3 linked regions of the Alligator mississippiensis genome follow. The protein of the gene in region 2 interacts with the protein of the main gene of each other region in a pairwise test. Links are inferred from orthologs where the notes say so. Each region holds a gene or a part of one and is shown on either strand. Other genes may lie near its edges. The genes, in order: ABHD16A, RNF5 and SLC38A7.

Region 1 (10,344 bases), about 4.8 Mb from region 2:
TGAGGGGAGGGGCAAGGGGGAGCTGTCCCAGATGCCTGGGTTCCCTGCTCATGTGTGTCCCAGATGCCTGGGTTGCGCGCCTGTTGGCCTGACACAAAGCTGCAGCCACCAGTTCCCAGTTGCTGCTTTTATTCGCAGCGCCTGCCCCAGACCCTGCCCAGGGCGCACCCAGACACCAGGGTCCCTTGCCCCAGCCCTTCCCAGTGGGACTGTGCCTGGTTGGATGGGTCCTCTAGGGGGCAGCTGAGAGGGACTGGGGTGGAGGGGCTGAGGATGAGGAGTGGGGGGGCGGGGGGCTTCAGGAAGGGGTGGGGCTTAGTAGGGGAGGGTTCTGGGGTGGGATTTCTGAGGGGTAGGGCTTGGGGTGGGGCAGGCCTTCAAATGAAGGAAAAGTCTGAGCAAGGGGCAGAGATGGGAGGGGCTGCAACTGGGGGTGGGGCTTAGGCAGGGGCAGGGCTGGGAAGGGATGGAGCTAAGGGTAGGGCCTTCACAGGGGTGAGCTTAGGGGATGGAGCTGGGCATGGGGGTGTGGCTTCTGATGGGGCAGGGCTAGTGCTGGGGGTGTGGCCAGGTGGGTGGAACCCCGCCCCCGGGAGGGGCCATCAGGCCCCCATGTTCTCGTAGAGGCTGGCTTCACCCTTAGATTCCAGGGGGCCTGCAAGACAGTGGGGGGGCTTGTTAGCTCAATGTGGTGGATGGAGGGCCCCCAGTTCACCCACTAAGGGAGGGGAACTGGGACCAGAGCAGCACTCACCTGGCGGGGCCTGAAACAAGAGGGCTGGAGGTGCCGCCCTGCAGGGGAAGAGGCAATGAGCAGGGGTGCAGAACCCAGGCATCCGGGCTGCCAGCCCCCCTGCTCCAACCACAGGCCCCACCAGCCTCCCGCAGAACCCAGGAGTCCAGACACCCGCTCCCCTCCCAGGCATCGGGGCTCCAAGGCCCCTGTTCTCACCGAGGGAACCCAGGCTGCCAGCCCCTCACCTGCGGCCCTGGTGTCTCTGCCTCCACAGTGCTGCCCCCATGGCGAGGAGGAGGAGGGTTTCCACAGCAACACAGGCAGCCAGTGGAGCCCACAGGGTGTCACAGACCCCAGGATCCCGGCTCTGGGGTTCGGGGCACTGGGAAGACCCCGGTACTGGAGAAGACGGGAGAGCAGGATAGAGGAACCCAGGTGTCCAGACTCCCGGGCCCACTGCCCTCCTGGAGGACCTGGGCATCCGGGCTCCCACCTTCCACTTCTCTCACCCCCAAGGGAACCAGGCTCTCAGCACCCACCCACCCCCTGCCTCCCCTCCCCTCCCGGGGAACCCAGGCACCCTGCCCCACCTGGGGCTGCAACGCTCACCCACCTGCCACCACGCGCAGCTCGTAGCCGGTTACTGTCGTTCCCCCCAGCGTGCACCAGTACGTTCCAGCATCCCCAACCTGGACCTCTCGCAGCAGCAGAGACTGGCTGGGGAGCAGGGAGAGCCGGTCCTGGTCCCCTCCAAGCCCCGGAGCTGGGAGTCGCTGAGCCACGGTTAGGTCTAGGCTATTGTTGCGATACAGCCACAACAGCTGTTCCCCGGCCCCCAGGTGGCGCTGCACAGGGCAGGGCAGCTCCACCGAAGCCCCCACAGCCACGGAGACCTCTGGTGGGAGCAAAGGGAGAGACACAGCTGATTCGGGGGTGGAATGTGGTTATGCACTGGGAATGCGCCTGGTTCTGGGGTGGAACATCTGAGTATATACAGAGATGCAGCTGATTCTGGGGTGAAGCAGTTATATACAGGCATGTGGCTGGTTTTGGGGTGAAAGGGGATAAACGTGGCTGATTCTGGGGTGAAACAGCTGAGTGTACACAGAGATGTGGCTGATTCTGGGGGCAACTTTGGTTATACACAGCAAAATTGACTGATTCTGGGGTAGAACGTGGTCATACACAGAGACACATCTGACTCGGGTGGAACATGGTTGCAAACAGACATGCAGCTGATTCTGAGGTGGAACATAGATCATGTGAGTGATTCTAGGGTGAGATGCAGCTGATTCTGGGGTACAATGGGGGAGAAACACAGACACAGCTGATTCTGGGGTGGAACGTGGTTATACAGGGAGGTGCAGCTGATTCTGGGGTGGAACAGACAGAAGGGTTTTACCTCCCTCCATGGTGGGTCTCAGCAGCAGGAGAAGGAGGCAGAAGGGCTCTACGGCTGCCCCCATTGCCGGCATCTCCTCGGGGATGCAGGGTGTGACCCAGGGGAGGGCGCCAGGAGCTGGTCAGGCTGGAGCCATGTCTGGAGTGACGCAGCAGAAGGATGAGGGACCTTATCAGGATCCCACAGGGATGGATGTGTGGAGGAAGTGACACAAAGCAGCTGTTCCCCCAGAGCCAGCCACAGCTCTTGTCCTCGTTACACCCATTCCTGCTCCACCCCAGAGCCAGCTGCACCTCTTGTCCTTGTTATACCCAGCCCTGCTCCACCCCAGAGCCAGCCACAGCCTTTACCCCCATTACATCCACCCCTACTCCCCCTCAGAGCCAGTTGCAGCTCCTCGCCCGTTATACCCAGCCCAAGCCACCCCACACTCCCCCAAGCCAGCCGCAACTCAGGCAGGGAGGAGCTCTTTTCACATAGAGGCATCCCAGCAGACGCTCCCCTATGAGTTCCCCTTCACTTAGCATTGCCCAAACAATTGGCATGCTGCCTCTCCACCCCAGGGGCGGCTGAGTAACAGCCGCCCCAGGCTTGAGGCACCTAGCTGATGCCGTTCCAAAATGGCGACACCAATATGACTGCCATGTCCCACACATGCCATTTTGGCCTAACTCCAACATAGTGGCACCAACATGGCTGCCACGCCCCACAGACGCCATCTTGACCTACCTCCAGCATGGCGGCTCGGAAATGGTGCCCATTCATGACCTAACGCCAGCATGGCCACTGTATCGCCAACCCCAAGTGGCCCAGTTGGTGTGCACCCCTAGTGCCAGGCCAGCATGGCTGCCCTGTGCCCACTAGTGTCTCCCAGTTGCCTCCCACTGGTGTCCCAGGTGGCCTGACCTTTGTACAGTGACCCCTCAGATCCCCCCTTGATGTGACTCCAAGATGCCCGGTGTGTCACCAACACTGAGTGGCCCAGTTGGTGTGAGTCCCCTAGGGCTGACATGGCCGCCCTGTGCCCACCAGTGTCTCCCAGTTGCCCTCCAGTGGTATCCCAGTTGGCCTGACCACCCCACCCTTGTTCAGCGACCCCACAGATCCCACCCCACCTTGGCGTGACTCTCCAGATGGCTGCTGTATTGCCAACCCTGAGCAGCTTAGAACCAGGCCAACATGGCTGTCCTGTGCACACCAGTTTCTCCCAGTTGCCTCTAATTGGTGTCCCATGTGGTGTAACCACCCCCCAGTTGGCCAAGATGGCGACTCTTTCACTCCAATGGAAGAAGGGCAGAAATGGGTGCCTGGCTCTTTAACAAGGGAGGTGGGAGGGGGAGAGAGAAGCCCGCAGCCAGGACGCCGGGAAAACGCGTTTTCATAACCCCTGAGGGAAGTTTGGCTACCTCCGGTACCCCGTAGAGAACCCGGAAGTGGCGCTTTTGCTCGGTCTCCGACCCGGCTTGGTCCGGCCCAAGATGGCGAAGCTGCTGAGCTGCGTGCTGGGGCCGCGGCTCTACCGGGTCTACAGGGAACGGGGGCCCGCACGGCTCCCCCAGGATGGGGACGAGGCTGCCGAGGGGTCCCCAGCCTCCCGTGAGTCTTCCTGGGTGAGTGCCGTTTTTAACCCTCCCCCCCGCGGGGGAGAAGTGGTATCTCCCGACTGCCTCTCTCTACGGGAGTTCGGACGAGACCATTGCCTGGAGAGGGGTGCCGTTCAGGGGCACGCCCCCTTTTTCCTTAGTGGAACCTTCCCAGTCGCTGGGTCTGGATGTCCGTTAGGCCGGTACCATGATGGGGGGGAGGGGCGGAATGTGTCTTTGCGTGGCCGTGATGGGACCTTCCCAGTCGTCGCGTCTAGATGCCCGTTAAGGCGATACCATGTTGGACAAGAAAGGGAGACTCTGTTACCCCTTACTTCCTTCTTCTATGAGCCCCCCAAGTGACCCCTCCCCTCTTGAAAGAGACCATTTTAGAAAGTGGGGTTATGGAGTTGAGGGGACAATTATGCCCCTCTTCCTCTCCACTTCTCCTTATCCAGGTCCCCTAGGATAGTGCTATCTGGGGACAAACCCTTGTGAGGAAAGAGGGGGCAGGAACTTGAGGGGCAGAGAGCATGATTGCTCTTCTGGATGGTATTTCCCCCTCCCCCAGTGGATCAGGCTATGGGGGTGGGGGAGGGGATATATTTCCCCCTAACAGTATCTCCCCACCCTGTTCTGTGCAGCCCTGCAGTCCTTGTATCAAGTTGCTGCTACTACCCTGAGACGAACCATTGTAGAAAAGAGGGGTGCTCCCACTCCTGTTTCCTGCATGGTACGCCTCACCCTCAGGAAGCTGTTGATACTCCTCTGGGTGAGACCATTGTAGAAGCAGTGGGTAGAGGGGGACACGTTTCCCTTCCAGGACCTCATATGGTATCTCCCGTCCTCCCCTCTGGCCTGTATTACTTCCCTAGTGCTATGACGCCAGCCTGGCAAGGCCGGGTTGGCGTAACCCCCAAGATGGCGGCCGGGGCCCCTCTATTAGTGGGGACGTCATGTTGGCACGACTTCCTAGATGGCAGTCAGGGCCTCGACCCAGGGGGAGGTGCCGTGGTGGTGTGATTCTCAAGTTTGCTACCAGTCTGCCACAGTAGGGGGTGGGTTAGCATGACTGGTGTTGCCAAGATGGCAGACATTGCCTCCCCCCGCCCCCACCCTCCCCAATGGGGCTCAGCTGGCATGACCAGAACAGCCAAGCCAAGGTGGGCGTCCTGGCCAAGATGGCGGTGGTGGCGTTTCCTAGTTTGCCCACATTGCCCTGGCCACCGTGGTGCCCGCCTGGTTGGGCTGGATTGGCCTGGCTTCCGCTGTAACCTGTCGTGATCCTGCCTTGGCAGGGGGCAATACAGGTGCTGTGCACGCGAGACCATGGCCAATGCGCCCCATGTGACATCACCGCAATGGCCACCATGACCCTGATGGTGAGGTGACCTTTGATGTGACCCCATGGCATCGCCACAATGGCCACCATGTCCCTGACCATGAGGTGACCATTAGCGTGACTCCATTTTGGCCACCCCAGAACGGCTGCTGCATCCCATAATGCCCTGCACTGCCCCCTCGCTGTTAGCCAAGGGCTTTACTGTGCCCCTCTGGCTGATTTCCCAGCATGCCCCACTCCCCACCTGTGGCACTGACCCCCTCCCAAGTCTTGGGGTGATGGAGACTTTCTCCGTGCAGGATTCGTACTACCAGCCGCGGAGCCTGGAGAAGCACTCGGACAGCATCCTGGCCCTGGTGAGCTCCTCTGCTTCTGGGGGAGGCTGGGAACCCAGGCATGTGGGCTCCCCATCCCCCCCCTCCCCAGCCTTCCAGGGAACCCAGGTGTCCAGGCTCCTCCCCTTCTTGGGCCCTGCCCAGGGGAGCAGTCCTGGCAGCACAAACATGTTTATCTCTGCTCCAGTCCCTGAGGCCCCCGGTTCTGTCCCCTAGAGCGGAAAGACACCCCTGGCGTCCGTGCTCCCAGCATGCTCCCCTGTCCTGCCTGAATCCACCACGCCTTTTTTCCTTCCCAGAGAACCCAGGCATCCGGGCTCCCCGCCCTGCCCCTCTCCTGTTCCAGATGACCAAGGCGTCCAGGCTTCCAGCCTCGATTGCTCTGGCTCACCAGACCCAATCCTGTTCAGAGCGTGGAGGGAACCCAGACATCCGGGCTCTCAGCTCCTCCTGCCCTCACCCCCCAGGAGAGGATCCCAGGTGTCTGGGCTCCCAGCGCCCACTGCTGTAACCCAGCAGACTCTGTTTCCTTCCTCGAACTGGGCAGAGAACTCGGGTGTCCTGGCCGTGCACTGAGCTAGCTTGGCTTCACTCCCTTCCCTGCAGAGGGACCCCAGGTGTCCAGGCTCTCAGCCCCTGGCCCCCATTCCACTCCCAGAAAAGCCAGGTGTCTGGGCCCTTGCCCCAACCCCCTGCCTCCTTCCTTGAGAACCCAGGCATCCGGGCCGCTGCCCCCCCCCCACCCGTGCTGGCCCCCCAGCCCCTCTTCACCTCCTAGAAAACCCAAGCTTCCATCCCCCCCCTGCTTTCACCCCCCAGCTCCCACTCGCCTCCCAGAGCACCCAGGTGTCCGGACTCCCAGCCCTCACCCCTTCCCTGGATTGCAGAGAACCCAGGTGTCCGGCACTGACTCTGATGTCTGGTCCCATTGCAGGCCTCGGTGCTCTGGTCTATCTCCTACTACACCTCCCCGCTGGCCTTCTTCTACCTGTACCGGAAAGGTAGGAGGCACTGCGGGGGCAGGTAGGGGGCTTGTGGAGGGCAGGGGGCATATATGGGGTATGGGGAGGGGCTGGTGGGGGTGTACTAGGGGAGCAGGTAGGGGCTATTGTGGGGGCAGGTGGGGGGGGAAGATACAGCTTGAGGGGGCATTTAGGGGACACAGGAGGGATCTAGGGGAGGCAAGGTCCATGTAGAGGGCATCAGTTGGGGGTAGGAGGCTTGGGGGGCAAGTGGGGAGGTCAGGAAGAGCAGGCTCCTGGGACCTGGGGACAGGTAGAGGGGTGGGGAGCAGATAAATGAGGGGGTGGGGTGACTAAGGGGCACCAACATGTTGGGGGGTAGGTTGAAGGGGCAGGTAGGGGGAGCCAGGGGGGTTGGTTGGGGTTGTTTAAGGGGCCAGGGCATATCAGGGAAGTTGTTTCATCCCAGAGCTGGGCACGTCGGGGGCCTGGCCATGACGCCCTCTCCTCTGCCCCTTCCCCCCGCCCCCACCCTCCCCCCCAGGCTACCTGACCATGTCCAAAGTGGTGCCCTTCTCCCACTACGCTGCCACCATGCTCTTCCTCCTGGCCGGTGTCGCCTGCCTCAGAGGTGAGTGGGGGCTTGTGGGTAAGAAAGGGCTACACCCCCGCCCCCTGGACACCTGGGTTCTCTCCCAGCTCCGGAGGCAAGGGAGGCAGGCTGGGAGACAGGGGTCCCTTCTACCCAGCTCAGGGAGAAGAGTGGGGCTTGGAGCCCGGACACCCAGGTTCTTTGGGAAGATGTTGGGGGGTGAGGGGTTAGGACTGGGAGCCCGGATCCCTGGGTTCTCTAGGAGGGGGTGGGGATTGCGGGGTGGAAGCAGGGAGAGCTAGGGACGCGGATGCTTGGGTTTTCCGAGAGGGGGATGAATGCCGGTGGGCTAGGGCTGGAAGCCCGGATGCCTGGATTCTCTAGGAGTGGGCTGGGGTGTGGGGGTGGCAGCCCAGACTCCTGGGTTCTTCGGGAGGGGGATGTATGCTAGGGGCTAGGGCTGCAAGCCCAGACGCTGGAGTTCTCTAGGAGCGGGGTAGGGTCTGTGGGGTGGAAGCCCAGACTTTGGGGTTCTCCCACAACCCTTCAGCCTATCTAACTGCACCCCCTCCCCGCCCAGGGATTGGGCGCTGGACGAACCCCCAGTACATCCAGTTTATCACCATCCTGGAGGACAGCCACCGCATCGGCACCCCTGAGATCAAGGTGAGGCTCTGTGACCGGGCTTCTGGCTCCACCTCTAGGCTGCATGCCATCCACCCTGCTGCTTCCCACAGTGCCTTGCATGCCCCGCCCTCTCCTGCCAAGCCATTCACAGCTTGCACCACCCCCTCCTGGTCTTGCATGACCTTCTGCTGTTTCCCGTTATGCCTTTCAGCTTCCCCTTCCCCACCATCCCTGGCAGCCAGGCCTTGCCGCAAGGCATGATGGGAGCTGCCGCTTCTCCCCTCATGCCTTGCACCCTAACCTCCTCACCGTACCACAACAGCCAAGCCTGCCTCAGTTTCCCATCATGCCTTGCAGCTGCCCACCACTCCCCCCCCCCCCCTTGTTTCCCAGGATGGTTTGCAGCCCAACCATTTTTGTGCTTTGGACTCTTTCCCAGCATGCCTTGCAGCTACCAGCTTTCCCTGCTTTTAAAGGGGCAGAAACCAGACCCAGGTCTGGGGGGGTTGGGGGTTGGCTAGGGGAGTGGAGCCAAAGCAGGGATCCCCACCCACTCCCAAGGAGGGGCTGGTGGGGGGGTAGTTTTGGGGGGGGCATGAGGTCTCAGCCCCTCATGCCCAACCCCAACCATTCTCCTTCCTGTGTGCACAGAAGAAACTCGCCAGCTACAACTTTGACTTCCGGAGCTGGCCCGTGGACTTCCGCTGGGATGAGGTCTCCAGCCGGTGGGTGAGCGGGGAGGGAACCCAGGCGTCCGGGCTCCCAGCCCTCCTGCTTTTACCCACCAATGCCCTCCCCTTCCAGGGAACCCAGGCATCTGGGCTCCCAGCATCCCCTGCTTTCACCTCCCTCCCTCCCTCCCTCCCAGAGAACCCATGTGTCCAGGCACTCCCTTCCCAGAGCAAGGGGAGAACCCAGGAGTCCTGGCTTGATGCTCGGACCCACCAGCCCTGACTTTGTTCCCAGAAGTGAGAGAGAACCCAGGTGTCCAGGCTCCCAGCCCTGCCTGCTCTTGCCCCCCAGCCCCCACTTCCCTCGTAAAGAACCCAAGCGTCCAGTCCCTCAGCCCCCGTCTTCTTCCTGAGCTGAGAACACAGGCATCTGGCTCTCCCCAGGTCAGACTCGCGGGGGATCTCCTTGCTGCAGCCGCCCCCCAAGCACCGCAGCACGGCCAACGGATTCCTCAATGCTGTAAAGAAGCTGCCCTGCCAGATTGCCAGGTATAACCCTCCCCCCAGGGGAGGGGTTTGAGCTCCCTGCCTCCCTATTGGCTGCAACAGGCCAAGGGGTGGGGTCTGCAGGCTTCCCTTTGGAGGGGTGAGGGGTGGGAAAGCATCCTGGGAGGCTGCAGGGAGTGTGGGTGGGGATCCCTAGCTGCTGATTGCTTTGCTATGTTGGTCCTGAGACCTGTCCCCTGATTGGCCAAGGGCGTGGGTGCAGGATGCTGCATTGGGAATCATGGTAGGGTTTCCTGGCTGCTGATCAGCTGGGGTGAGTTGGGGGGGCATGTCCTTGGAATCTTTGTTCCAAGATGTTTGACCTCTGATTGGTCAGAGTGGTGTTTCCAGCAGCTAATTGGAGGGAGGCATTGGGAATTGCAGGAGGGATCCCTAGCTCCTGATTGGCTGCAGGGCTTGGTGGGGTGTGGCTTAGGAATCTAGGTCCAGAGACCTGTCCCCTGGTTGGTTGAGGGCTTGGGCCCAAGATACTGATTGGTAGGCATTGAGAAGTTCTGGAGGGATCTCTGGCTGGGGTTTGGCTGGGGAAGGGGCTGCAGCTCAGAGTCCTGATTGGCTGGAGGCAGAGCTGAAAAGGATGCTGATTGGTGGTAGGAATCGGAAGGTTGGCGCCTGCAGATAGGCCAGCTTGGGGGTTGGCCTGGCTGGGGGGATGGAAGAGGAAGTAACGCTAGAATTCTGGCACCTGATTGGCTGGGGAGGATCTAAATAGCTCATAGGCTGGCAAGTGGGGTTCACGGAGATTGACTGGGGTAATTATGACTGCTTATTGGCCAGGGGGTGAGATCACCTAACTAGTAACTTTTTAAATATGGCATGGGTGTGACAACAGGGGTCTGGGACCCTGGTGCTGGGGTGTGGCTGGCTCTGGGGCATGTCAGGCTGGGTGTAACAGGGACAGGAGCTGCAGCTGGCTCTGGGGAGCATCACGACACCCTTGTCTTTGCCCCCTGCCCCACCCCCCAGCTACATTGTGGCTCACACATTCGGGCGCCGGATGCTCTACCCTGGCTCAGTCTACCTGCTCCAGAAAGCCCTCATGCCCATGCTGCTCCAGGGCCAGGCCCGCCTCGTTGAGGAGGTGAGTCTGGGGGGCAGGGAGCTGGGGAAAGGAACCCAGGCGTGCGAGCTGCCGGTCCCCACCTTCCTCCCAGGGCTGGAATTGAAGCCAGGTTTCCAACCCCCCATGCCCCGTCGGGGCTCCCAGTTCCCCCCACCTTTTACCTGTCCCAGACTCCACTTCCCTGTCAGAGCTAGAAAAGAACCCAGGCTCCCAGCACCCCCTGCTGTAACTCTCTACATCCCAATCCCCCCCTGAAGAGAATCCAGGCTCCCAGCTACACCCCTGATCTAAGATCTAATCCATTTACCCTCCCCTCCACCCCCAGTCCTCCCTTGCAACCGTGTTCACAGACCCCTGGTTCTCACCCCCCCTCCCAGAGAACCCAGGCATTTAGGTTCCCAGCCCGCTCTGCTGTCATCCACCCAAACTCACCCCCCTCTCAGATCTGGAGAAAAGCCAGATGT
Region 2 (10,344 bases):
TGGACCAAGCTTAGGCCTTGTTGTCAGGGCTCAGACGTGCACACTTTCATACCACCCTCCTCTCACACTCCACCCTCTCACAGGGTGTCTTTCACCCCTTGACAACTCGTCTGCCTTGCTCCCTCCTGGAGTAGGCCCCTTGGGCCATAGGCTTTAGCTAGCTTATACCTTGGGTGGCAGACATACCGTCTTTTGGGCCTCTCCCACGCCCCTCACCGGGGTAGTGGCCAGCCAATTATCTGACTGGATCTAAGCTTGCCATGGCCCTTCCAGGGCAACTGTATACAGACTTGCACATGCTGGGCTCCCAGCCCTCTGGTTTCCCCCTCACTGGGGCCACGGGGCTTCTGTCCCCAGTGGGATCAGGTGGCCACAGCCATGCCTGGCCCCAGATACCTCCAATGTTACCTGACCCACCTAAAGGTGAGGGCTGGGGTTAAGGCACCCCGACCTGCCTTTCACCAGTGTGGTAACTGGCCTTTCCTGGGGGCTCCCGCACCACTGAGAGCCCCACCAGGCCGCCCACCACTGGCAGGGTGCAGTTTTAGGTCATGCCCAGGACCAGGAGCCTCCTGACCATCCCCTACAGCTCCTGCCTTTGCCTCCAGGATGTTGCATGCAGCCTTGCAGCCAGGTGATGTTACTGCCTGGCCTGCCAGCAGTGAACCGCTCTGTTTATATGGGTGACTGAAGACCTAAAGTGGCTGCTACAACCAAGGACCTGCTGCCCTCTTGGCTCCACTCTTAAAATGGCAGGCACCAACAGTGCCCTGCCACAGTTGGGAGTGAGGGGCACTGTTAACCCCTTCCCCCACTACAAGCTGGGGGAGCTGGAGAAATATAAGCAGGTGGGCGGGGCCATGGGGAGGTGGGCGTGGTTGGCTGGAGTGGGTGGAGCTATAGGGCTGGCAAGGCTGGCTGGAGTTACAAGGATAGGGCAGGGCTTGCTGGAGGAGGTGGGGCTATGGGCTGGGGGTGGGGCTGCCTGGAAGGGGAGGGGAGGGGAGGGAATGTAGGGCTGGGAGGGGGTGGATCTATGAGGCTGGGGGTGGGGCTGGAGCTACAGGGCTGGGACAGGAGGGGGGCTTGTGGGAGGGGGTGAAGCCCTAGGGTTGCGTCCAGAGGGGGCGGACCTAGAAGGGGCAGTGGGGGGCAGGGATGTGGGCTGGGCTGGGTGGATGGGGTGGGGCTAGAAGGGAGGGGGCGGGTGTGGCAGAAGGGGTTTGGGTTGGCTGGAAGGGGTAGAGCTACAGGGCTTGGGGGTGGGGATATGGGTTGGGGGGCAGGTCTGGCAGGAGGGGGCAGGGCCAAGAGCATGGCATGGGGCTGAAGGCCAGGGTGGGGTTGGATGCCCTGTGCTATATCTGTGTAACCCCCCCTAGTCTGTCTTCACCTTGACCTCCAACCCTTGACCTCACTCTGGACCCCCAGCCCAAAGCACCTGTGAGGCTGTTGGGATCCTCTGCTTCTGCTTCCTTGACTCCAGGCCTTACTTGACCTTGGACCCCACCCTGTCCCTAATTCCTGTCCCCTGTGTGGGGACATCACCATGCTTCCTTGGTGACGGGTATGACCCTCTGACTCCTCAGTCTGACCTTCTATCTCTGGACCCCCTTCCCTGACTTTTGACTCCTCCCCAAAGCACCGGTGAAGCCGTAATCAGCCTTTGCTCCTGCTTCCTTCACACCAGTGACTGCCCTTGACCTCTGACCCCCACCCCAAAGCACATAAGGCTATTGGGGTCCTTGACCTCTGCGATCTCCCTTGACCCCCATACTCTAACCCCACTCCTGTTTCCTTGATGCTTGGTGCCATAACCCCAAACCTTTGACCCCTGACCCTGTGTGTCCTGGCAGCCAGATGCAGCACAGCTTCACCCAGCAGGTCACAGCCCCGCCCCAGTGCAGGGCCAAGGACCAGCTGCCTGCCCACTGTGGCATCATGTTTCGCAGGTGTGGGTGAGACCTACAGCCAGGGAACAAGGCCTGGGTAGAGAGGTGGAGCCTATAGGAGAGGGGCTGGGGTCTGGGTAGAGTGACTGGGCCCTGGTGAAGGGAGTACAGGAGCTTTGGGACATGGCCTAGGCAGGTGGGTGGGGCCACAAGGCTTGGGGGTGTGGCCCAAAGTGAAGGGCAGGGCCAGGGACCTTGGGGTGTAGCGGAGGTTGAGAGGCATGGCCTGGATCGAGGGGGCAGGGCCATGGGGCTTGGGTGTCTAGCCCTGGCTGAGGGGTGGGGCCAGAGGGCATGAAGTCATGGGGCTGGGGCCTGATTGGAAAGGTATGGCCACAGGATGTGGGGGCAGGCCCATGGTGGCTGATTGAGGGGTAGGGGTGGGGCCTGAGCTCAGGCTCTGCCCCCAGTGCCTGCCCTCTGTCTGGTTCAGGCCTCCCTGTAGGATGGGGGGAGGAACTCACTCTAAGGTGGGGCACCCTCAAATCTCAGCCTTTTTTCCCCCATAGATGGAGTTTGTCTGTGCCATCCCCTCGGCCTGATGAGGGTGAGTTGGGCTTAACCCCTCCCCTCCCCCTCCATCTGGGGTAGGGAGGGGGCAGAGGGGGAAGGGCTGCCTGGTTGGGATGGCAGCGCCAACATCTTGGCCATCGGGAACCAAGATGGTGTCTTCATGGGGGTTCAATCCAACAGGGAGGCCACTGAGAGCAAAGGTGGCATCTCTTTGCAGGGTCCATCCAAGACGGCAGCCACCAGGTGCCAAGACAGCCAGCAAAGATGCTAGACTCCGGCACCCGGAGCCTTCAGTCTTCTGCCTCTGCCCGAGTGCCCCCCTGCCCCCAACACCGCCTCCTAGAGTCCCACCCTAGGGTGCCCACTTCCTGTTGGGGTGAGGGGTCAGGGGTCCTGGAACTGGAGGTGGGGGTGGTGTGGGGCAGGCTTTTGTTTCTTTATTATTCATGTTTTCTTAATTAGGAAAATCCAATTAAGTGTGGGGGGGCAGGTCTGGGAACTGCCCCTAGCACCCCCAGCCCATAGGGGGCAGAAGGGTGGGGCTTAGCCCCTGCCCCCCAAACTGGGCTGGGCACAGTGGCTCTAGCGCCCCTGCCATGTGCTCCACCACCTTTGTGCGCTGGCCCAGAATGCCCCTGCGGGAGGGAGAGACGGGTGCACTCTGCACTGCCCCCCCCACTATATTTCTTATTGATACTTAAAAACAAAACACCCCCACTCCCTTTCAAGACTGGCTCAGGAGGCTTCTATGAGGGTGGCCATTTTGGAGCTCATCGTTGGGTGGCTCGTGGATGGGTTTTGGGGGGTGGGGGGAGAGGAAACATGAGCTGTTGCGTGGGGGGTTCCTCAAGCATGACACCAAAGGGTCCTTAGCCCCCCCCCCAGCCTGCACACCCATGCCCAGAGTGCCTCACTCCACAGCAGGCTTCAGTGGAGGGTGTAGGCCTCGCTGGCTGTGCTGAGGTCTTGTGGGTTCCGCAGCCAATAGCACCTAGTTTTTGGGGGCACAGACCCTCTAAGTTGTTTGCGGGGGGTCACGGGAGGCTCCCTACCCCCCATTGGTTGTATTTTCTTGGCTTATGTAATAAAATATATTTCTTCCAGGTGCGGGAGGCTGTTCCATGGCTTTGGATTGGCTCCCTGGGGTGGGGGGACCCCACAACCAGCCACCTCATCTCCCCAAAACAAGGGAACCCCTCACCATCTCAGTGACTCCCCCCAGGGGGGCACAGGTAGTGGGGTCCAGAGTAAACTCCCAGACCTAGGGGAACAACTTATGGTAGATCCTACCCTTGCCCTTTTCAGTGTCTCTCACTCCTAGCCCGCAGCCCGGGGTCTTATCTGCTCTCGCCTCATTCCCCTAATGAGAGTCCAGATACCCCAGGGTACGAATCACCAGTGCTTTAATGACACCCCTGGTCCCCCTGCCATGGGGGGGTGTGGGGTCACCCTGATTTGCCCTGTCCCATAAACACTCACAGATGCCCCAGAACTGCCCTCTCTCCCCCCACCCCATGTGCAGGGAGCACCAGGGCCTGGCCCGGCCAGCAGGGGATCACTGGGGAGAGCAGAGGCCAACCCTGAACTGGCCCCTCCCCCCTATTAGCCCTTAGGGAACCCCCCAAGTCCTGCCCCTTGGCCACTACATCATGCCCCCACGCATGGGGGAGGGGCAAAGGGGAAACCCTGCTAGAATACTGTAGCCCCACCCTCCAGGGGTTAACCCCTGCCTGTCCATGGCAGGGGTGCGTTGGAGGGGAGGGGGGGGGTCAGACACTGAGAAGCCAGAAGAGGAAGAAGATGGCAATGAAGAGGAAGAGCGAATCCTGCCAGCCAGAGGGCCGGGGGCCAGCAGCTGCATCTGGGGGGGGGAGGAGAGAGATGTTGTAAATCAGGGGTGAGCAAAATGTGGCCTGTGGGCTGGATACAGCCCACCAGGCCATTCTATCCGGCCCATGGTGCCCCTAAAAAATTTAGAAAATTAATATTTATCTGCCCCTAGCTGCCTGTCATGTGGCCCTTGATGGCTTACCAAACTCAGTAAGCAGCCCTCCACCCAAAATAATTGCCCCCACTGCTGTAAACTGAGGAGGGGAAGGCTGGCGGGGGGGGACTAGTGCCAGTGTAGGGTGGGTGGAGGGTGGAGAGGAGCCTGGGGCATGTGGGGGTACTCAGAAGGGGGCCCATGGGCATGTGTGGGATGGGGTAGGGGAGCCCCGGGGGGTCCATGGGAGTCATCCTGATGTGGGGGGAGCTCAGCCTGGGGTGGGGAGGGCGTGGGAGTCTGCCAGCATAAGGGTTGCCCAAAACAGGGTGCAAGGACCCTGGGTTTGGGGTGCCAGGGGGTCTCTTACCAGCTGGTGCGTCAGGGCCCCGCATCACGGTGGTGAAAAAGCCGAAGGGGAAGGCGCCGATGCCGAAGGCCATGTGGAAGCCAGTGTCGGGGAAGACAGGCGGTGGTGGCCCCTGCAGACACAGGGTATTAGCTGGGGGTGAGGGGGCAAAAGAAGGGCAGGTGGCCGTTTTCACTCACCCCACGGCTCTCAGGCTCCGGGCGCTGGCCCCGCGGCCGTGGAGGGGTCTTCAACCTGGGCAGGGGCAGAGATGGGGCATCAGGGCGGCAGAAGCCAGGTGCCTCCTGCCCTGTAAATGCCCTCCAACCCTGCGTACCTGGGGTCCTGCTGCCCGGCGCTACCACGGCCATACAGGGGGATGACCTTGTCACGGCTGATGCCTGCCTTGCACACGGGGCACTCCTGCCGCTCTGGCCGTGTCTCCAGCCACTGCCGGCGTGGGGGGTAGGAGAGGGGGTGAGGGACCCCCCACGACTCCCCCACCTGCTCCACATCATGCCCCGGGGGCGGTGGGGGACGAGGGGGAGGGAGGGACTCACCTGGTGCAGACAGGGCCAGCTGCAAGGTGTGTGGAGGGGGGGGGAGTGTTATGGGGGTGGGCCTTGAGGCCCCCCCCTTTCAACTCACCCATGCTAGCCCCTCCCCCACCCTAAGCCCCTCCCCCACCCACTAGACCACTCCCCAGTCATATCCGATCCCCGCCTCCGTCCTCCCGGCCCCACCCCCAACCATATCCCACCCCTTTCCTCCCCCCATCCCATTCGCGCCAGCCCCACCCCCACTCCAGCCTCCCCCACCCATAGCTACGCCCCGCCCCCTCCCTAGGCCCCTCCCCTCCCCCACAGCTAGGCCCCTCCCCCTGCCCCACCCCATGAGAGCCCCCCACCCAGGCCACGCCCCCACCCGGCCCCGCCCCATACCAGTACAGGTGCCCGCAGAGCCCGATCACGGCGTCCCGGGCGGGCTCCAGGCAGATGTTGCACTCGAACGCACTGCGGTCGCGGTTTGGCACCTCGGGGCCCCCATCGGGGACCCCCGGGCCTGTCCCGGCCGCCATCTTCCGCCCCACCCCCGGAGGGGAAATGCCACCGCCTTCCTTCTCAAGGGTCCCATTGGCCAGCGGGGCCGCCAATCAGCCGCGCCCCCCGCTCAGTGGCCGGTGACGCTGCCTCTCAAGGAAACTGGCGAATATGATTGGCGGGAGGGTAGTTGGCATTACCACCAGATGAGGACACGCCTCTGCCAGTGGCTGACTGGGTAGATTTGCTGTCCATCACACGTTGCCTCACGCTCATTGGTCACTGCGGCTTGGGTCCCAGCTTCTCAGCGTGTAGGATATTCACCCGCTTCCTATGGGTGCCGGCTCCCGTCAATCACGAGTAAACGACGCGTGATTGGTCGCTTCGGGGTAAGGTGCGGGCAGGAGCGGAGAAACTTTGAATGAACAGCTCCATAATCCAATTATTAGTAGCCATAAGTGAGGCGGGACCCCCAGGGACATGTAGGATTCTATTGGCCTGGATTCTTTCTGTCATGCTGACTGATTGGCTGAGGGGGAGTAATTGTAATTAACAAGCGTTTAGGCCAATCCTCGCCCATAACGGTTCCGGACTGCGGAAGGGATTGGAGGAGCGGGCGGCGAGGGAAAGGCCACTGATTGGCTAAGAAGGCCGGTGGGGGCGGGGCACACGTGTCCGCTGTGAAGCCCGAGGTGCGGTCAGCGGCCGGAGAGACCGAGGCAAAATGGCCGCCCTGGAACCATGGCAACTGCCCTGTCACTGGAGCAACCACAGTCTGTCCCTGCCAGCCCCGTCACCACGGCAACCGCCACCCCCCGCCCCTGGCAACCAGTCCTGTCACTCCTGCAACCATCACTTGGCCTTGGTCGGGCCTGCCCCGTCACCATGGCAACTGCACCCCTGCTGTGTCACCATGGCGACTGCCCTTGCTTGCTATTGCCCCCAAACCCTCCATCACCTTGGCAACCCTCCCCCACGGCCTGGCCTCGTCGCCATCGTGACGACGTTGCCATGGCAGCAGTCCCCCTTTGCCCTGGGGCCCGACTGGCCGCCCTGCCACGTTGGTATAGCAACGGTCACTGGGGGGCCACGGTAACCATGGCAACTGCCCCTCTCCTGGGCACCCCCCCACTCCTGGGTGTCCCTCGAGTGCCCCCCCGCCACGTCTCTATGGCAACCGAGGCAGCCCCAGGCCCCGCCCCCGGGGCAACAGGAGGGGGCGGGGCGTGGGGAAGGGGCGGGGCCCATTGGGGTGGGGGTCCGTAGAGGGGCGTGGCAGGGCGGCGGGGCTCGCACGCGGGAGGGAGCTGACGTCACGGGGTCCGGGGGCAGGCGCGCGCGCGGGCCCCATTGGCCGCCTCCCCCCAACCTTCCCCCCCGGCTTCCGGTGTGAGGCCCCGCCCCTTTCCGCCCCCTCCCCCCCTCCCCGAGCATCCTCTGCCGCCATGGCCCGGCCCGGCCCGCCGCCCTGAGCGCCCCCACCCGCACCACCCGGGGCCAGGTGCGGGGGTGGATGGATGGGGGGCTGCGGTTGGGGGGGCCTGAGGGGGGGGACCCTGGGGGATGGGGGCTAAGGGGGGTGTTCGGGGTGGGGGAGGGGCTGCCCCGAGCGGGGGGGGGGCTGGTGGTACCCTGCTTCAGCCTTGGCAGGGGCAGCCCTTTACTCCCCTGCAGCGATGGTTTGGTCCTGCTCCCCCCCTCCCCCCCCAGCTCCAGGGCTCAGGGGTTCGGGTGGACGTGGGGTCCAGTGGGGTCTGGGCGACCTGGACCCCTGTGGTGTGTGCATGTGTGAGCACGTATCCCAGGTGCCTCGGTTCTGTGCGTGTATGAGTGCACACGTGTGCTTTGGACACATGGGTTGTGTGTGTGTGTGTGTGTTCCAGATGCCTGTATGTTGTGTGTGTGTGTGTGCGCGTGCGTGCACCTGTTCTGGAATCTGGGTTCTGTGTGTGTGTGTGTTCAGGGTGCCATGGTTGTGTGTGTACATTTGTGTCCAGGGTGCCTGACAGGTGTATGTCCATGTCCCAGATGCCTGGGTTGTGTGTGTGTGTGTTTGTGTGTGTGCACGCGCGCGCATGCACGGGGGGGTTACAATTGTTCTGTGGTAACCATGAGTGCCTTTGAGGGTCATGGGGTGTTGTGTTCATGTGTGTGTGTGCATCCAGAGGGGTCTGACTTGCACATGTTTGTGATGGCTACTCCTTCATGTGTGTGTCTGTGTGTAATGGGTTGTGAGGGATGTGGGGTTGTGCATGTGTGCAACTGTGATAGTTGCAGGCACTTGTGAGGGGCACTGGGTATGTGTGCCTGGGGGGGCACAACTTCTGTGTGCATGCACGTATGCATGAGATTCAGGTTTGCATGTGTGTGTGATGGTAGGAGGGTGTTGGGAGAAATGTGTGTTACTGTGCTGGGGATACAGTTGGTGCGTGTGTGAAGCCTGCAGGGTGTTATGCAGGTATCATTTTCACCTGTGTGTATGTATCCCCACACCTGGGTTCTGTGTGCGCTGGGGAGAAACAGTTCTTGTGTGTGTGTGGTTGTGAGCAGCTGTGTGGGGCACAGGGCAGTGTGTGTGTGTGTGTGTGTGTGTGATGTAGGGTGTTGTGGAGGGGTACAATTTTCACCTGTGTGTGTGACGGTAGCAGAGTGTTATGGGTAGTGTGGAGTACTGTGCTGGGGAGCAATAATTTGTGTGTGAGAGAGAGAGATGCTTGTGGGGTGTTGCACAGGGTTCACTTCTCACTTTTGTGTGTGATGGTAGGGGTGTGTGGGGTGCAGTGCTGGGGGTACAGTTTGTGTGTGTGTGTGTGTGTGTGTGTGTGTGTGTGTGTTGTTGCGAGCCATTGTGTGCAGTACAGGCCACTGTGTGTGTGTGTGTGTGCACGCGTGCATGTGTGTGCATGTATATGTGAGACAGACAGATACTTGTAAGGTGTTGTGGGGTACAGTTCTCGGGGGGTGTGTGATGGTAGTGGGGAGTTGTGGGGAACTGTGCTTGGTAAAATTTGTGTGCGTGTGAGATAGTTATGTGGGGCCTAGGGTACTCTGTGTGTGATGCTTGGGTGTTGTTGGGGGTACAATGCTCACCTCGTTGTGTGTGTTTGTGTCTGTGTATGTGTGTGATGGTAATGGCATGTGAGGGATGTGGAGCACTGTGCTGGGAAGTACAAGTCTTGTGTGAGTGTGTGTGATGGTTGTGTGGGGCACAGGCCTCTACATGTGTATCCCAGGTGCCTGGGTTCTGTGTGTGTGTGTCTATTCACATGCAGATGTGAATGTGTACTTGTTTGTGTATTTGTGTGTGCATGTGTATATGCTGGCATGTGCATGCATATATGTGTACTCGTGTGTGTCCTGGGTGCCTGGGTTCTGTGTGTGTGTTGGATGCCTGGATTCTGTGCATGTGTCCATCCATTCACACGTGTGTGTGTGTGTGTGTGTATTCACGTGCGTATTTGTGTGTGCACGAGTGTATTCATTTGTGTATGTGGCATGTGCGTGTATTTGTGTTCTTGTGTGTGTTTGTGCATGCATACAGGTTTCCCATGCTCCCTGTGGCTTGCTATTGTGCGTGCCACGGCCCATGCCATAGCTGTGTGTGTAAATCCACACCATGTGCATGTGTTCACCTGCCTACCATGTGTGCTGCCATGGCCCCTATCCCCCTGCAGTTGTCAGGCCCAGGCTGGGGTTGAGTCTGGGACAAGGCCCCCCTCGGGTGCAGGGTGGGGTGGAAGATCAGGCGTGTGCACGCCTACATGTGTGTCGGGAACTTCCAGCCCTGCGGCAGGGAGGTGTGTGTGTGGCACCGGGTCGGAGTGTGGCAGGTGTGTGTCTCTGGGCATGTTGACACATGCACAGGGCTTGGGCAGGGTTCGGTTTGCTGTGCATGTGTGCGTGTGTGAATAACCACGTGTACTGAGAACATTGTTTTGCATGCAGTGAGTGATATGTACTTGCTCTGCCACAGTTGCACTAGCGTACAAAGTTACGTGCACTCACTTGTGCATGTGTACATGCACACATGCAGTGGGTTTGAGCAAATAGTGTAGCTTGGTCCAGTGTGTGTGTGTGTGTGTGTTGTGGACACATGGTCACTGTGTGTGTGTGTGTGTGTGTGTGTGTGTGTGTGTGTGCGTGCAAATGGTAGTGTAACAGTATGCTGCAGGTGTGTGTATACATGAGTGTTTGAGCAAGCACTGATAGCATAGTTCTGCTTATATGCATGCACACACACACTGAGTAAATAGTGTGTGTTGCACACAAACATGCATTTGAGCAAGCAATGAGCATAGAACTGCTTGTTATACGCAAATGCACACGGTGTTTGACAAGTAGCAGAGAAATGCTTGTTTCACACTCACGCAGCATGTTTGAGCAAAGCGTAGCTCTACACTGTGTGGGTATGTTGCACACATGCACAATTTTGACCAAGCATTGATAGCATAGGTCTTCTTATTGAACGTGCGTGCACGCGCGCGCACACACACACACACACACACA
Region 3 (10,344 bases), on a different chromosome or scaffold from region 2:
GATGATGAGAAAGGCAATGCAGGTGCCAAAGGTATAGACAGCAATGGCAACCTCACAGAGCACGCCAGTGACCTTGCCACACACGGCCCACACCACCTCCTGGTACGTCCTCTCATTGCTGGCCTGTGAGCAGTAGGCCAGGATGACCAGGCCTCCAATGATGAAAACCAGCATGCACTGGGAGAAGATGGGAACAGTCAGAGTGCTGGATACCAGAGCCCCTGTCACCCATCCCTCCCAGGCTGAGGCACCATGACAGGGCCCAGGGCTGGCAAGAAAGACCACATTCTAACATGTCTCCCACATGATCCAGTCTCATCTATTGTAGAGGTGCCCATATCCCCCCATGCAGCTCCTCTCACCATCTGCAGCGTGATCCCCGCTGCCACTCCACCTGCTGTGCTGAAGGCTGCAGGAAAGTTGAGTAACCCGGCACCCAGGGCAGCATTCACCACAATGAAGATGGCTCCCAGGGTGGAGGTGGCCCCTGTGCCATGTTCCTGCCCCTCACTGCTTTTGGGCACAGTCTCCACACTGGGGCTCTGCAGCAGCCTTGCCCGCTCCCCGGCATCCGCACTCCACTCCCAGTCTCTGAACTCACTGTTGATCCCCACATTGTACTGAGCCATTTCCCTTGCTGTGCAGTGGCCAACCAGCACAACACTAACACCCCTCTGTGTCTCTTCAGCACTTCAGCACTGTGCCAAGTCTGCAGTCAGAACAAGCACCACTCTATAATGCTGACTCCCATTAGGGTCCAGCATCCCAGGAGTTACAAGGCAGTCAGATTCATTCTCCTGTTATGGGCACCATCTTGGGGGGCACCAGGCACAGACCACTTCACTGCACCTAGAAGAGGACAAAGGGAAGAGCATCACTACCTAGTGCATGTGGAAGTCATGCCAGTCAGAGCTGGCCCCAAAATCCAGACTGCCCATGTACTCCATCAGCCTCTACACAACTACACCCTTCACTAAAATGGAACACTACACCAGTGATTCCCAACCTTTTTTATACCGTGGACCAGCAGTAGTGAGGGGCCACAGGGCTGGGCCAGGCAGGGGAATGCAGCTGGGGGCAGAATGCACCTGGGGAGCTGAGCCGATGGCAGAGCTGCCGCCGCCTAAAGCTCATGCCATGACCCAGCAGCCAACCCTTCACAGCCAGGTGGTTGGGAACCTCTACACTACACCCATGGGTGGGCAGCCAGCAGCAGGGAACGAACCTGGGATCACTGGATCTTAAAGCAGGAGCCTCTGTTGCCCGAGCCAAGAAACCCAGCACTGCTATAACTGGCTTATGTGAGACAAGTCTAGTAGGTCTCAGCTCAGGTCCTAGAAGTCCGTATTGTGCAAGCCACAAGAGTTGTCCTAGTAGATTGAACTGACAGAGGAAGAAGACTGACTGTCAGTCAGCACTGAGGCACCATGGACACAAGAGACAGCTTGCACTGCAATTATTCTGTGGATTAACATATTTTCAGTCTCCAAGGCTGTGCAGTTAGTGCCTTATCACAGACCTGATGCTGACACAAACAACAGCTGCATTTCGAAATCAACTTCCTTATTTCCAGCCCAAATTTCTGCAAGTGCTGCAAGAGTTTGCCTGCTCCTGTGGGGCGAAGTTCAGGGAAAGACTTGAAGTTGGAATGACCAGTCAGACAGAGGGGACATTTTTTTATCTGGCGAAACAAACAACAGATTTCCATACCTATCTCAGCAAACCTGACCAAAACACCTCTGAGATAAGAACAAGCATAAAAGATCATAATTTAAAGAACTGCTATAAAAATAGCACATAGGCCTCTTCAAATAGTTCGAGCTTATAACAAGTGACTCCCTTCTCCAACCCTAAAAATCACAGCCAGGTTTTGTAAAAAGTCCTGACCTCTGTGGCTCAGATAGACATCTAATAAAATCATCCAACAAACCAGGTGTTTTCAGCCTTTCTAGAGTCAGGGCACCCTACACGAATTCTTTGAGTCTGGTTGCACCCTGGTTGAGAACCACTGTTGTCCTGCCTCTGCTCATCTTCATGCTTCTCAATCAGTGCTGCAGCATGCTCCTGCCAGTATTAGGATATTCTGATAAACCTAAAGCAGGCAGGTGCAGGGTTACTAAAGAGTTCTGTGCTCTGGGAAAAACTCCTCTGACCCCTGTGGTAAGGAGGGTTTTTTTTGGTGGGGGGAGGATGGTCTTGCCTGCCCCAGGTGTCACCACACCCAGCTTCTCCAGCTGGGCAGTGCAAATGGCAGCTCCACAGCCCATGCTGCTCCTTCCAGCCAGGCAGTGCAAAGGGCTGTGGCTGGAGTTCACACTTACCACAGCTCTTCCTGGTCCAATCCCACAGCTCCTCAGTCACAGCTGTTTCCTGATCTTGCTCCATAGGAGACATTCAAAGCCACACCCCTGTTGAGAACCACTGCCAGAGGCTACTATGAACTACAATCAACGCTTAAAGGGGACACCCAAAATAGAAAGGGAAAACAGAGGAGGAGAGACAATTTCCTCGGTCCTCTACCCTTAGAAGACAGGCCTTCTCTTCCCTGTTTTTCACAGACACTCTTCCACTGAAAGCATTGTGAAAGCAAAACTTGATTTAAAAAAAATGAGAAGTAGTGGTGTGGGAGCTGTATGAGTCTTTATGGATTTTGTTAATATCTTTAAATCAAATTCTTGACAAGCAGCCGAAAGGAAAGATATCTCTGTGAGAAAATTAACTTCTCAACCCGACTCTCAGACTAGCACAAGTATCCATTCCAGTGCTGTGGGTCTTCCCAAGTGATTTCCAAAAAAAATGTGGAAGAAGGGAATTCCCTAAAGTTAAAAAGCAGGAAAAATAATTGCTAAGCAAAAAGGCATAAATCCAAACTCTCACACAATTTTTAATCCTAAGGGTGAATGTTCAGATATTTACAGACAGCTATTCAGAAACAGCTCATACACTCACAGTGTGGACAGGTTCCCCAAATTATGAAGCTAGACTGTGTTTCCTCATTACAGGAAGAGGTAGAGCTTCACAGGGGACTTCAGGTTGTCATCATCATCTGTCTTGCTATGCACAACTCCTAGGTTAACTCTAAGGCAGTGGTTTTCAAGCTCTGGTCCGCAGACCCCTGGGAGTCATAGATTGTATCGTTGGAAGGGACCACAAAGGATCATTGTGTCTGACACCCTGCCCCTGGCAGAAAAAGAGGACCAGTCCACAGATTACATCCAAGAGATCTGCAAAAGATTATCATGATCAATAGAAAGTACATGAATACCCACACTTACAGTTCACTAGGGTCCACACCTCCATTTAAAATTTCCAAAGGGGTCTGCACCTCCACGGAAAAATTTTTAGGGGTCCACACATGAAAAAAAGGTTGAAAACCACTGTTCTAAGGTGAGGTATCATTGATACTCTACTCCTTCCACCTCAGGGCAGTAATGACACCAAGTGGTGCCAGAGACAGCTCTATGGTGCACACATTTAATTAAGCTTGTTTTAATTCTGATCTGGAAAAGGGAAAACAAAGAAATGAGGGTGTAGACTGAGGTCTACTCTATTGTGCATCAATTCAAACCAAAGCATTAACAGGCCTAGATCCAGGGCCCAACTGCAAGTGCAACCCAGTAAGAGAACTTAACGGTACAACATCAGCATTACAACACAGGATTAAAGAAAACAGAGCACAGTCATCAAATAAACAGGTGTGTCTCTACCCACCCTGCTAATGGCTCCCGATTCTTCAGAGGAGACATCCTGTTCTGAGCCAGGTGACTGGTTACAGACAGGAATGCTCAGGTAAGCTGAACTGTATAGAAGCCCTGGGTGGACACCTGAACTCTGATTTCAGCCGACTGATGCACTGTAGAGGCCACACTAACAGACGGGCAGATCATGGAGGTAAGGGAACGTGTTCTCCATCTCAACCAAACTAGTTTTGCTTGATATAAACCCTCAAAATACAACTTCTAGTACAATCTAAACTCACAGAATCCTATAGAAGCTGGGCTGGAAGGGACCTACAGAGGTCATCTAGTCCAGCCCCCTGCCTAAAATAGTATCATCCCTATCCAAACCATCCCATACAAACCATAATCTAAACTTTACATCAGACAACCATCAACCCTGATATGACATAGACCTAACACCCTAACCTGCCACAAGTAAAGCAGAACTGTGGCAGCCAACATCCTACTTCTGTGAAATGTCATCAATAAATGCTCAAGAGACGCTGAGTAGAGGGCCATGACCCTCATGAGAGGAAGGCAAAAGCCCCCATGGTCTGTACCAATCTGAGCATAGGGTAGAATTCCTTCTGAGCTCCAAATCTGGCAATTGGTCAGACCCCGAGCAGAAGGACAAGCCCCTCTAGCCAGGAACCTCCAGCTTTGGTCCCCACAGGAGCACTGGCACAAGTCCCCAGGCTTGGCTGCCACCAACATCCAATGCCTCTGAGGAAAGCTTAAAATCACCCTGACACATGTAGCAGAAAGAGGGCACAGGAGCCCCAAAGCCTGGGAAATCCTTAAGCAGAACATGGTTTAGCCTGCCTGGTGCACTAAATGGGCTCAGCCCTCCCTCTGAAGCACGTTGCATTGGTCCCTTAGAGCAGCATTTCTCAACCCATGGGTTGTGACCCAAAGGTGGGTCGCAAGAATATAGGAAAGGGCTGGGAACAAATGTCAGAAATGGATTCTCCTTTAAACGAGTGAGGGCCACTGGGTCAGGACTGGCCATTGATGTTCACAAATGGGTCCTAGTCCAAAGAAGGGCAGAACCACTGCTTAGGCTGGGAGCCAGGCCAGAGGCACTGTGGGCCTCGTCTCAGCGGAGGATCCCGGAGAGCAGCCGCTGTCACAGGCCTGCCCCTAGCCCAGGACTCCGCCTCGGGTGGTCTCGCTGGGCTGGGCGACAGGACACAGCCCGGCCGGAGGGCACCGCAGGGCCCTTCACCCACGCCCAGGCAGGCCTGCTGCTGCCCGGGACACCCCCTGCCAGCGGCCCTGCCCCTTCGCCAGCCGCGCGCGTCCTTCCCGGCGCCCCGCGGAGCTGGGAAGCTGCGGCCCGGGGAGAGCCCCTGATGCGCGGAAAGCTCCGCCAACGGTCAGAGCAGGCCCCCACAACCGCCTCTTACCTCCCACACCGGCGCCGGCTCCGGCTCTTTTGAGAGCAGCTGGAGCCTCACGTGGTCCCGGCGGCTCGGCCCCGCGCGCTGCAGGCTGGGGAGCGTAGTCCCGCCCCGCCCCGCCCCGCCCCGCCCCCGCTGGGGGAAGCCGTGGGCTCCAGAGCTCTGCCTGCGCCTGCGCCGCGTCCCACAGCCCCGTCCTGGGGCACGCTCGAGAGCAGGCTGGGCAGGCCGGTTGGTTTAGTCAGGGATGCACCTGCTGTGAGCGGGGCCTGGGCTAGGTACCTTCCAGCCCTGCTTTCCTGTGATGTGTGATCCTGCGGATGGGAGACACGAGAGACCAGGAGCGGATCCAGCCAAAGCTTAAATTGCCCTGGAGTGGCAGCAGCATAGCTAGTCCGTTGACTTCGGGGCTCAATAGACTTGGCCTGATCCCTTCCAAACTTCATTCCTCAGCACCCTTCTCCTTTTTACTGGTCTTGATGCTCCACCAATCAAGGCACTCTTTGTCCTACAGACAGCTGTGCTCTGTTAGCTGCTCGTGGTCAGGAAGCTCTTGTTTCCCAGCCCTGGAGATTGTTTTGAGCTGATTCAAGCTTCTTTGTGTTTTGGCTTCCATGTTAAACTGGATAATCCATCCCGAGGCCCCCAGCATGTCAGTAAAGCCCCTCATTCATGGTACCTGGAAAGAACCTATGCATTGTGGTATATGTGGCGATGCCCCTCCCCACTTGCGTCCCCCTTTTCAGAATTCTGCTGGTATTTGGAGCCAAGCAACTCAGTGCAAACATCACATGTTCGGATCAGGTCATGAACAAAGGTTGGCGGAGAAGGTGAGGAGTAGGTAGGGAACCTGGCTTGAGCCCAAAGGCAGGATAATGGAGGGGAAATATTTTTCTAAACCAAATGCTGGGTTCTGCAAATGTACCAATTTTAATTGTGCATCCCTTGGCTTCCATACAGTGACTCTTGGGGTTTGGCAAATAGAGCCCTGAGCGTCTGTATTTCTCATTCATTTCAATACCAGATTCAAGTGTTCAGCAGCTCTCATGCCTTGGTGCTACTCCTTGGTGCTCTGTCATCCCTGGGCCAGATTCCTTCTAATACTAGCACAAATTGTGACTGTAAAATTACACTGCACCCAGCTGATGCTGTTCTACGCTTGTATAATACTGATCTGAACAACACAAGCAGAATCCTAGAAAACCAGGCCCTGGGCTGTTCAGTTTCAGCGGCCTTGAGAAACAGCTTTGTCATCTTATTCTCCAGGCATCCTGTTGGTTTTTATCAATCTCTGAGCCTGTTTTACTAGAGTCCTGACCCTGCAAGTTCATTCAGCCATGGCTACAAACCCTCTGTATAGTTTTGCCTGTGTTCCAGGAGTGGCCGTGATATTTTCTCTGCATGTATCTCGAACAGCCCATCCCTGAAAAGTGCCCTTGTGAATAGCAGGAACTGGATTTCACCAACATTGCAATGGTGGCTTGCCCTGAAGTTCCTAGCAGAGGTGCACCAATACATTGGTCCCATATTGGATCAGCACCGCTATAGGGAAAATTGAAAGTATTGGAAATGTTTGGGTTTTTTTTTTGCCTGATGTGGCCACTAATGTAGCAGATAAATGCCCCATGAACGTGCACAGCTGCACCATGCACCGGCCCAGGAGCACATCCTGGCCAGTTGGAGACCAGCATCTGGTTGGTAAGTCTGGTGTGGGGGAAGAGGCATGAGGGGACACAGATCGAGGCCTCCAGGGTGAGGAAGGGAGTGTGGCTGGGGCAGATGCTGCTCAGCTGCAGCAGTGTGGGGTCTGGGACGGAGCTGCGAGTGGCTCGTCTATGGGGCGGGAGTCAGATCCCTCCTTGCACACATCCCCAGACATAGTAGGGCTCACAGAAACCTGGTGGGATTCATCCCACGACTGGGCGGTCAACATTAAGGGCTATAGACTATACAGGCAGGATAGAACAGGGAGGAAAAGGCGGGGGTGTGGTGCTCTATGTCAAAGAGCAATACACATCCTCAACCAGCAGGATGGGGTCATAGGAGGGGCAGGCTGAAGTGCTCTGATAGTCACATACAGGGGTGTCATGGGGAAAGGGACTTAACAGTGGGGGTCTACTACAGACCTCCCAAGCAAAGTGAAGAGCTGGACCATGAATTCTTGGCTCAGCTTGTGGAGGCACTTAAGACAAGGGATGTAATTGTCATGGGTAATCAAATTACCCAGACATCTGCTGGGAGGAGCAGTCAGCCAGGTCTGACCACTCACGGAGGTTCCTGGCTGAGATAGAGGACCTCCAGTTAACCCAAGAGGTTCACAGTCCTACCAGGGGGAATGCCCTGCTGGACCTGGTCCTGGCCACAAGCAATGATTTGGTAAGCGGGCTCCAGGTCCTCAACCACCTGGGCGATAGCAATCATTGCTTGCTGGAATTCACCATCCAGCGCGGGGTGCCAAGGGCCTGCAGCAAGGCAGTAGCCTTTGAAGTTGGCCCTCCTAAAGTCTATGAGCTGAGGTGATTAGTGGGGGAGGCACTAGGATCCTGGAGAGTAGAGGAACTGGGTGCCCAAGATGAGTGGTCGTTCCTTAAGGAGACGATACTCAGAGCCCAAGGGGTGACAATCCCAACAAGAAGCAAGGGGGGCAAGAGTGCCCAAAAGCCCCCCTGGCTTACCAAGGGCATTTGTAGATGCCCGATTGCCAAAAGCGTACACCAGGTGGAAGGGAGGGGCTATTACCAAAGAGGAGTATACCTCCACCGCTCGGGTCTGTAAGGGGGCTATTAGGAAAACTAAGGCAGATATGGAACTAGGGCTAGCATCAAGGATAAGAAAAAGTCCTTTTTTAAATACATAGGGAGCATGAAAAAGGCCCCAGGTAACGTGGGGCCCCTGCAGGATATGCTTGGCAATCTGGTGGTCACACCAGAGGAGAAAGCAGACCTCTTTAACAATTTCTTTGCTTCTATTTTCTTGTGCAGGGACCGGGACTCCCCTACCGATATTCAGGATGTACTCGAGAGAAACTCCGCCAAACCTAGGGTCAGGGAGGACTGAGTTAGAGAGCTTCTGGAGGGGCTGGACACGTTCAAGTCAGCAGGTCCAGATGCTCTCCACCCCAGGGTGGAGAGGGAATTGGCAGGGGTTATTGTGGGGCCCCTGGCACGGCTTTATGAGCACTTGTGGTGTTCTGGCCAGGTGCCAGATGATTGGAAGAGGGCCAATGTGGTCCCCATCTTCAAAAAATGGGGAAAAAAAGGGAGGACCCGGGCAACTATAGGCCCGTTAGTCTTGCTTCAGTCCTGGGGAAGCTGTTTGAGAAGATTATCAAGCAGCACATCTGTGATGGGCCAGCAGCGGGGATGATGCTCAAGCGCAACCAGCACAGTTTCATTAGGGGCAGGTCCTGTCATACCAACCCAATTGCCTTCTACGATCAGGTCACCCAAAAAAAAAAAAGTCACTGGCTGTAGGTGTCGCGGTGGATGTAGTCTTTCTGAATTTCAGGAAGGTCTTTGACACTCCCACCTCATTCTCATTAAAAAAAAACAGGTGACTGTGGCATTGATGCCTACACAGTCAGATGGATTGCAAATTGGCTGAGGGGTCGTACTCAGAGAGTGGTGGTGGACGGGTCATTTTCAACCTGGAGGGAAATGGGCAGTGGGGTCCCATAGGGCTCAGTCCTTGGGCCCACACTGTTCAGTTTCTTCATTAGCGACTTGGACGACAGGGTAAGAAGGAGCCTGTTTAAATTTGCAGACAACACCAAGATTTGGGGTGAAGTGGGCACACTAGAGGGGAAGGACAGATTACAGCAGGACCTGGACAGGTTACAGGGGTGGGCAAATGAAAATAGAATGGAATTCAATACTGAGAAGTGCAGGGTGCTGCACTTGGGGAGTAGGAACCAGCAGCATACCTATAGGTTGGGGAACTCCCTTTTCAAAAGCAGAAAGAGATCTTGGAGTCATTATTGACTCCAAGATGAACATGGGCCGACTGCGAGAACACGGTCAGTAGGGCTAACTGTACCTTGTCCTGCATCCACAGATGCATCACAAGCAGGGCCAAGGAGGTGATCCTCATCCTGTATGTGACACTGGTCAGGCTGCAGCTGGAGTACTGTGTCCAGTTCTGGGTGCCGCACTTCAGGAGGGATGTGGCCAGCATTGAGAGGGTCCAAAGGAGGGCCACTTGCATGATTTGGGGACAGCAGGGCAGACCCTATGAGGAGAGGCTATGGTACCTTAACCTGTTCAGCCTTTGCAAGAGAAGGCTGAGGGGGAACCTGGTGGCCGTCTATTAAAACTTGCTGGGGGGGGGGACTAGTGGGGTTTGGGAGACCTTGTCCCCCCCCCCCCCCCCCCCCGAGTGCCTCCTGGAGTAACAAGGAATAATGGCCACAAGTTGTTAGAGAGTAGGTTTAGACTAGACATCTGAAGGCACTACTTCACAGTCAGGGCCGCTAGAATCTGGAACCAACTTCCAAGGGAAGTGATGATGGCTTCTACCCTGGGGGTCTTTAAGAGGAGGCTCGATCTTTACCTGGCTGGGGTCATCCGAGCCCAGTTCTCTCTCCTACCCAGGGCAGGGGGTCAGACTAGAAGATCTACAAGGTCCCTTCCGACCCTACATCTATGAATCTCGGGAGGGCATGGGGGACGTGTGCCTCTGGATCTACACAGGGTGGCACGGGATGCTACTGAGACCTGGAACTGGGGGCTGCACTGGGCTCTTCCTGTTCAGGGCTGGGCCAGGCTGCACTGAGCTCAGGGTGTATGGCAGTGGTGCTGGGAGAGGGGTTGGGGGGCTGGGCAAATTTTGGGATGGCTGCAGCTCCCTTGTAGCCCCCTCCTAGTGCTGCCACTGGCAAACCCAAGCGCAGCACAGCCCTGTTCAATGCCCACCAGGAAGAGCCCAGCGTAGCCCCCGGCCCCAGCCCACAACAGCATCCCGCCCCATCCCACATAGATATGGGGGGCACATACTGCACATAGCCTGCGAAGGCATAGGGGAACAGGAGCCCCCCCACCTTCCCTTCTCCTTTTGCTAAAGTAGGGGAACGATTGCCTACTGCCACAGATTTACACAAGTGGCAAATGCTGTCCTAATGGGAATGTAGCCATACTGGTATAAGAGTAGATACTGTACATTGGCTTAGCCTAGTCCTGTATATTTACTCTTCAACTACAGCAGTTCCTAAAACAGAGAGATATAATAAG

The links.
Region 1: the proteins of RNF5 (region 2) and ABHD16A interact in binary tests that used the Homo sapiens proteins (3 or more experiments, as listed by UniProt). The link is inferred for Alligator mississippiensis from reciprocal best matches to the Homo sapiens genes RNF5 and ABHD16A.
Region 3: the proteins of RNF5 (region 2) and SLC38A7 interact in binary tests that used the Homo sapiens proteins (3 or more experiments, as listed by UniProt). The two-hybrid records come from large-scale screens. The link is inferred for Alligator mississippiensis from reciprocal best matches to the Homo sapiens genes RNF5 and SLC38A7.

What each region holds. Positions count from the first base shown.
Region 1 is NC_081834.1:57,908,460-57,918,803, reverse strand, and holds the start of ABHD16A (phosphatidylserine lipase ABHD16A), read left to right. Parts: upstream 1-3,568; 5' UTR 3,569-3,616; coding exon 3,617-3,748; intron 3,749-4,436; exon of another isoform or gene 4,437-4,451; coding exon of another isoform or gene 4,452-4,493; intron 4,494-5,362; coding exon 5,363-5,419; intron 5,420-6,332; coding exon 6,333-6,399; coding exon of another isoform or gene 6,400-6,421; intron 6,422-6,904; coding exon 6,905-6,991; intron 6,992-7,532; coding exon 7,533-7,618; intron 7,619-8,230; coding exon 8,231-8,304; intron 8,305-8,694; coding exon 8,695-8,799; intron 8,800-9,783; coding exon 9,784-9,898; intron 9,899-10,344. Other genes in the region: uncharacterized protein LOC109284092, read right to left, coding at 603-655, 755-792, 982-1,135, 1,350-1,631, 3,254-3,371. UniProt on the Homo sapiens protein: Phosphatidylserine (PS) lipase that mediates the hydrolysis of phosphatidylserine to generate lysophosphatidylserine (LPS). LPS constitutes a class of signaling lipids that regulates immunological and neurological processes.
Region 2 is NC_081834.1:62,658,939-62,669,282, forward strand, and holds RNF5 (E3 ubiquitin-protein ligase RNF5), read right to left. Parts: upstream 6,427-10,344; 5' UTR 5,877-6,426; coding exon 5,740-5,876; intron 5,378-5,739; coding exon 5,359-5,377; intron 5,249-5,358; coding exon 5,136-5,248; intron 5,054-5,135; coding exon 4,999-5,053; intron 4,932-4,998; coding exon 4,820-4,931; intron 4,327-4,819; coding exon 4,235-4,326; 3' UTR 3,852-4,234; downstream 1-3,851. UniProt on the Homo sapiens protein: Membrane-bound E3 ubiquitin-protein ligase that mediates ubiquitination of target proteins. May function together with E2 ubiquitin-conjugating enzymes UBE2D1/UBCH5A and UBE2D2/UBC4.
Region 3 is NC_081833.1:39,215,666-39,226,009, forward strand, and holds the start of SLC38A7 (sodium-coupled neutral amino acid transporter 7), read right to left. Parts: upstream 5,215-10,344; 5' UTR 5,126-5,214; intron 3,239-5,125; exon of another isoform or gene 2,322-3,238; intron 850-2,321; 5' UTR 630-849; coding exon 363-629; intron 178-362; coding exon 1-177. UniProt on the Homo sapiens protein: Symporter that selectively cotransports sodium ions and amino acids, such as L-glutamine and L-asparagine from the lysosome into the cytoplasm and may participates in mTORC1 activation. The transport activity requires an acidic lysosomal lumen.